2 linked regions of the Schizosaccharomyces pombe genome follow. The gene in region 1 interacts genetically with each later gene. Each region holds a gene or a part of one and is shown in the gene's direction. Other genes may lie near its edges.

The links.
Region 2: of hpt1 (region 1) and apt1, changing one enhances a phenotype caused by changing the other (phenotypic enhancement), as found in Schizosaccharomyces pombe (one study listed by BioGRID).

What each region holds. Positions count from the first base shown.
Region 1 is NC_003424.3:2,154,744-2,158,434, reverse strand, and holds hpt1 (xanthine phosphoribosyltransferase), read left to right. Parts: upstream 1-1,917; 5' UTR 1,918-1,978; coding exon 1,979-2,112; intron 2,113-2,386; coding exon 2,387-2,873; 3' UTR 2,874-3,061; downstream 3,062-3,691. Other genes in the region: hcn1 (anaphase-promoting complex TPR lobe accessory factor subunit Hcn1/Apc12), read right to left, coding at 3,398-3,640. UniProt on the Schizosaccharomyces pombe protein: Converts guanine to guanosine monophosphate, and hypoxanthine to inosine monophosphate. Transfers the 5-phosphoribosyl group from 5-phosphoribosylpyrophosphate onto the purine.
Region 2 is NC_003424.3:4,081,573-4,085,120, forward strand, and holds apt1 (adenine phosphoribosyltransferase), read left to right. Parts: upstream 1-2,083; 5' UTR 2,084-2,113; coding exon 2,114-2,197; intron 2,198-2,237; exon of another isoform or gene 2,238-2,375; coding exon 2,376-2,858; 3' UTR 2,859-3,024; downstream 3,025-3,548. Other genes in the region: ted1 (phosphoprotein phosphatase), read right to left, coding at 1-1,203; alpha mannosidase Mnl1, read right to left, coding at 3,448-3,548.

The sequences.
Region 1 (3,691 bases):
TTAACAAAGTTTTGTAAGTGACTGGCCACTAATCGCGTTTACCACAAAAGGAACTAACAAAGACTACCTTTTGAAATTTTCTTTCAATTCGGTGTTAAGAATAAACGCACAAATTAGTCAAAATAGTTAGAAGATCAAATTTTGCGATCGAAAATATTTATCTGATAATAATTGATATCGTAAAAGTGACTATTATTATTCGTAATCAGATACAACGAATTACAGAGTATCGCAGTAATAAACGAGTTAATTATAAGCAATATGCACACATATTTGGATCGTCCTTTCTATGATTTTTTGGGTAATGAGTGAGCGACAAGATCGTACTTGGTAATTTGATTGATATTTCGTCGAATAGGTTCTACCGCTTTACCAAAAGTAATTAGTTAATAAAGCTAATACTTGGTATCAATTTTTGGGTAAACTTCTATAGGTAAAAAAAAAATGATTTACGTTGATTAAATGTGCCACGTTCCACTTTTAAAAGCCGAAAACGTTTGAAATTGCATATTTATATTATTTTTAATAGCTCAATATTCCATTCATACGCTTGCTTTATGCAACGCCAATCATTGTTTATTGAAAGATACCATCATTTCTTGTAGCTCACAGAAACTTGGCCGAACGGCTGTTTAGAAGTAAATAAATAAGGAATTGAAAATGATCCTAGATGTTTCAACTATTTTTAGCTATTACTGGGTTTGCTTAATAATTTGATTAAACGCCATAAAATATATTAAAAAGGTCTTTCTATTTGTTGTTTATAGCAGTGGTTTGTTCTCAAAACTTACAATGTTTTATGATCTTCGTTCATAAACGAGCATTCTCTCTCCCCAGATTTCGCTAGTAATAAGCTAAATATATCAAGTAATTTTAATATTATGAGTGAATGCATACAAAAAAGAAATGCTTCGAAAATAAAACTCTTTCTAAAAGGAAAATCTAGTGATGTTGAAGAGCTTTTCATAATTATACTGTCAACATAGCAGCATTGTTAATGTTTTGAATGAAAGCCTGATGTCAGAGGGTTTTCTTTTAAAAAAATTTTTATATATATATATATATATATACATGATTATTAATAAAACAAAAAGAATAAGAACATTCTCAATCATCCTGTTCATTATATTTCCTTCTTTTCATTCTCAAATGACAAATAAATAGTTCATTTATCAATAACTCATGGTCTCCACCATATCTAAAAATCACCAGTTAGTGTAAGATTGAAGTAAGCATGTGTCTCGATATTTACTACGTATGCTGCGTTATCTACTTTTTGGCTGGTTACAAGTGATTAGATATTTACAAATTCGCTGCACTATCTACTTGTACAATCCCCCTTGTACCGTTTTTTAGGTAATGCGTCTAATCCTTCCCAGAACTACGAGGCTTCGGATGAGACACCTATGTGATGACTGACTGCATCGGTTCTTCAAACGGCACTGAATAATCCAAAACCTTTCTTGTTACGAGTACATTTGAGTAATGTACCGCAGTTAATTGCCCAGGCAAAAATTGAGCTATATTAATTTTGCTATAATTATACAAAAAGTAAACAGTAAAATTGAAACCTAAAGCATTATATACATATAATAAATCTTATCAGACATGCTAGCTGATATACCTTTTAATATATTTTTAACAACGAAATGATGGGTTTTGAAAAGTATTAAACATCTAGAAAATCAATATAAAGAACATTTACATATGTAATGGCCTTCATAGATAACTGAAATCGTTTTAAACATCATATTCTTTGCTAGACACCGTCTGGTCGGTGTTAGAATATCCCTAACTAACCACCATAGAGGGTAGGGTTAGTGACTTTTTCCTATCAGTAATTTAACGAGATTACCTTAAGGAACGCTTAAATTGTCAAAAGTACATAAATATCAAAAGAACGTATTTCCCCCGTTCACGTTTACACCTTTATCGTTCCCTTCATTTTTTGGTTGTTTCATTTTGTTCTTAAGTTATTATGGATCCCGTTCGTCTTTATTACAGCTACAATGACATTCATAAGATGTGTGCTCAACAGGCAGAAAAAATTTTGGAAACCTTTCGTCCTGATGTGATTATAGCCATTGGAGGTGGTGGATTCATTCCGGCTAGGTAAGTTGAACAAATAAAGAAGATAACAGGAAGAAGCGCTTCCTATAACGGCCTACTGCGTTAAAATTTGAATGGCAGCATCTTTGTGATTTCACAAATGATTGATTTTAACAATGCTTATCCACGATAAGGATTTTAAGGCTTTTATGTATGATCTTTTCAAAAGGACGCATCGTTTACCTGCATTTTCAATTGAGCCCAAGAATCCATCGTGGTGCATTCAAATTCCTTGCTCTTCTTATCTTCATATGGTTAACATTTGCTAATATAACAGAATCCTTCGTACTTTCCTTAAGAAAAAAGGAAGCAAAAATATTCCCATTCAAGCCATTGGTCTCAGCCTGTATGAAGAGCTTGTTTCTGATTCCCCTGAAGAAGTTCCTGGGCTTGAAGTTAAGCGAACTCAATGGCTTGATTTTAGTACTCTTGGAATGGTTGATCTCGTTGGCAAGAACATTCTAATTGTTGACGAGGTAGATGATACTCGTACCACTCTCCATTATGCTCTTCGCGAGCTTCAAAGAGATGTTGCCGAGCAAGCTAAGAAGCTTAACCGTGAAGGAGAGAAGACCACATTTGGTATTTTTGTTGTCCATAATAAGGTTAAACCAAAAAATGCTCAATTGGATAAGGAGATTTTGGATAAATATTACTTTACTGGTTGCAATACTCCCGACTGCTGGATCATGTATCCTTGGGAAGCTCAAGACATTGAGGAGCATGACAGTCATGTTGCAAAAATGGGGGATTTGAAGCCATAGATTGGAGTCTCGTGTTTTGTAAACTATAGTGAGCTTTTCGAATTTACTCTTAATTATTAATTCGCAAACTATCTATTTGATCCACACGCCTTCACCTCTTTCCTAAAGCCCACTTTTTTTTTTGTCGACATGCATATACATATATAGATTTGATAAATTTTGCGAATAACCTTTATAAATACTCTTGGTAACAATAGAAATGAAATAGCTTGACAATTTGATATGGGTAAGAATTTAAGTTGAATAATTGATGGAGTGAAGCATTAGGATAAATGTATGCAAGATTAAAGTTAATGAGACTGGTCATTGTTTAACGAAAACTTCACTGTTCTATCAATCGATGTATATCTTACTAATTAAATTAACATAGACAGTGTAGTCCATATTATGATGGCCGATTAAAATAGTTATATGTAAAGATCAGCAGTATGGAGGCAGGTGTGAAATGCTAACAAAACAGTGCAAATCGAAAAAATGTGGGCTAACGATTATTTGATGATTTAATTATGATTTAGTTTCACGGTCTATGATTGAGCGGCTCCACCTTGGGAAGGATGCATTGAAGAATCAAATATTTGAGTAATTCCAATCCTTCTTTCACGAATAATTTTCTTCTTTTCAGGCGATAAACGTGTTGACTCTTCGTTTTTCTGCAATGCTTCTTCTGTTGTTGACTCGGAATCAAGCGTTTGTCTTAGCTTTTCTTCGTCATATGCAAGAACATCTTCAGCAGTAATTTGTATTGCCGTAGGATTTCTTCGTAACATGTTGGAGATACTAACAAACGTAGTACACAAATGTGGTCTGTTATTAAATTT
Region 2 (3,548 bases), 1.9 Mb from region 1:
TCCGTGACTCAAGGTATAAGTGGCATATATGTCGGAACTGAATTTTGACTGTTTCAATGAAGCCTTCTTCCATCGTTGGCCAATGAGTTTTTGAATCAGAAATGTAACAACCGAGGGTGTGTTCTTGGAGGACTCTGTAAGAACATCATTTGTCGCGATCAGTTTGACAAAACCAATATTTCCTCCAAAGTACCCCATTGCGCTGGGTAATGTATGTTCGATGGCACCGTTCGGGTGTTCGTAGTCACAACCCATATGATCATGGCCAGAAAGGACCAATTTGATGCTAGGAATCAATTCAAAAATTTTCATAGTAGTATTATACGATAAATGATTTTGAGACTTGACCCGAAAATCCAATTGACGAACGATTCTCGGTTCGTCAACACACACATTAGCTGGTTTGTAGAGTGGCACATGGGTGAACAGTATGGTTGGAATAGACGGCTCTAAAGCAATGTCGAAAAGAAATTGCCAAGCATCCCTAGCTTCTTTTGAAAGAGCAAGTATACCTAATGATGAAAAACTTTTACTGTTAATAATATCGCTAGGGTTCGCATCGTAAAACTGAACATCATCAAGCGAAAGGCTATTTATGCCGATCACACGGACAGGAAATTTAGAAACATTGAAGTGCGAAACCCAATTTACCGGGCCCATAGCTTGTTCCCATTTGCTAATTTGTGCGTCTGAACTTTCGCAGCCATAGCCAATGTCATGATTACCCGCAATCGTCCAAACGGGAATGTTACCGTTTTCAAAAGTACGTGCTGGTAAACTGGAGTTTCCTACTTGCCAAAAGTTTTTTGCCCCAGTGATTTTTTTCAGTCTTTTAGCTCTTTTGTTGAATTCTTCGTTATCCAAGTGCTGAAAACTGACCAAGTCACCCAACAGAATCATCGCATCTGGTTGACCCCAAAACTGATTCATATGTACAAGGTGTCGTAAAAACAAATCATTCCCCCAAAGATCTAAAGTGCCTTTAAAAAATCCATTTGCTTCGATTTTATGATTCCCTTCAATCTGAGGATCAGCAACCCCCATAATAACAAAAGAATTTTCATCTTCGAGTTGCAGCTTTCTTGGCATTATGCCAAATAGTAGAGGATAGGCATAGTAGACAGCTAAAAAAACTAGGCAAAGATAATGTAAAATAGACAGTTGTTTGTTCAACCATAATAAATTCGGATGTCTTGCAAACATTATTGACTTAATTATGTCAACGTAAATTAAAAAAGGGAACGGAGAGAAGGAGCGATTTTTGGAGTGCCTATTTTTACTTAGGAGCAGACTAAACGAGTAATGTAGAGGCGTAAGATTTTGGTTTTTGCTTTACTTACTAGATTATATAAATGGTATACCACCATAAAAGTGTCAATAAAGCTTTTTAGAAAGATTTGCTTTCAAATAACAAGAAATGAGCAGAACAGAATAGAAAAACAAAAAGCACAAATGAAACAACAAAACTTATTTTTCTAATCCATGAAGCTAGTAAATGGGTAATTTATAGGTATAGCTGCAGTATTCGAACAAACCCACTGCTAAAATTTAGATTGCAAATCAATGGTCAAATGATTGATTCAAAATTCCTGAAAAAGAAGCTTGGTTCTTAGAAAAATGTGTATCGATGTTTGCCGTTGAAATTTTTTTCTGAATTGAATTAATACCAAGTGTATCAGTATAACTGGCTTAAACAAATTAAAAAATAAGCTTTCTACTGAATGTAATAGCAAAAAACGGCTAATAATCTTGACCGAAGTTTGTTTAATGATGAACAACGGATATGACTGAAATTGCTTGAAGTGTATATCAAACTAAAGAAGGAATACCTCAAAACATGGAGTTGTGGCTGACAGTTTTCACGAAGAAAGGAATGGAAAAGAGCGTCGAATTTCAAACATAAACGTTTCTTTTAGAGCTCGTCTTAGCTGCCAAAGTTAACCCGGTACACTACTTAGTATTAATAGGTGAATTATGACTGACGTTTTTTACATTAAACGGATGGTAACATGTTACTTGAAAACAGCAGTCCAAAATTTTCGCTGCATAGACGGTAACGGAAATTGAGTATTTATTTTTTTTTGTAGAAGTTTTTACATAGCAATTTACTAAAATGTCCGACGATAGAATCAATTACCTTAAGAATAAACTTGTTCAATATCCAGATTTTCCCAAAAAGGGAATCTTGTTTGAAGATGTAAGATTTTATAGAAGGAGGAAATGCGCGAGGTTGGATAGGAACGGTGATATTATTTTGCTCAATTAGCGTGAAGTTTGAATCCAAAATACAATTCGAGAGGTTATATTATCTTTACGCCTTGCAATTGCTTAAATACTCTGTTAAATTATAAACAATAAGATGCTAATGTTATTAGATAATGCCCATTTTTCAAGATCCCAGAGCCTTTGGCATCCTTATCGATCTTTTGCTTGAAGCCGTTGAAACTGAATTCAATAACATTGATGTGATTGTTGGTTTGGAGGCGCGTGGATTTCTTTTTGGACCTACGTTGGCTTTACGTGCAAATTGTGCATTTGTCCCTGTCCGTAAGCCCAACAAGCTTCCCGGTGATTTGGTCGTCGTAAGCTACAATAAGGAATATTCTACTGATTCTTTTGCAATCCAAAAGGGTACTATTAAACCCGGTCAAAGAGTCTTAATAGTTGACGACATTCTTGCTACTGGTGGCACCGCCTTGGCTGCTGATGAACTCGTTACTCGTTTGGGTGGTGAATTAGTTGGACATCTCTTCCTTTTAGAACTTACATTTCTTCAAGGACGTAAGCGTCTTATGGCTCCTACTTATACACTTCTTACTGGACAGGATGAAGCACCTGATGGTAGTGAATTTGCTTAAACTATGAACTCGAAGTATGTATAAGCATTTCTAATTTTTAACGTTATATTTGCTTTATTCCTTTTTTATAAATGTTTAGGGTTCTGGGTTTTTTTCTATGGTTTATTCGTCAAGCTAGGATTTTTTTAGTCTAAGTTGTAAATTGAATAAGTTATACATTTTTCAACTAGTATTCTAAAAAGTAGGATTTTTGTTAGCAAATATATATAAATCGGGTGGAAATCGATATCTTAAAATGAAAAAAAAGAAAAAAGGATGCAACATCATAAGGAGAAAAGCTTATAAGGGTCATAAAGGGTATAATTTTTAGAATGGTCAATACCACGCTTTTCTTTAATATAAATAGGTAGATACATTCAGCTTATTATAAGCCTATTGACGAATCCACGTTATAATATAGCCCTCGATTAAAAGTATAATTACAAGAGAAAGCTGAATTATCCAAATATACTTTTATTAAGTATTGAATGGATAAACATCTATAGGCTTTGAAATCACGCAGCACAAATATTTTTTAAATAGTAAAAAGCATATATGACCGCAAGTCTATACACATGCGTAAATAAAAAATCACAAAACAGCGTTATTCCTAGCTGTTTATGCATTTCAGACACAAATATAGGTTTGAAACTGGAGTTCCTTGGAAGTACGAAGGGGCGTCAAAGTCTGATTGACGCACAGAGACGTTGG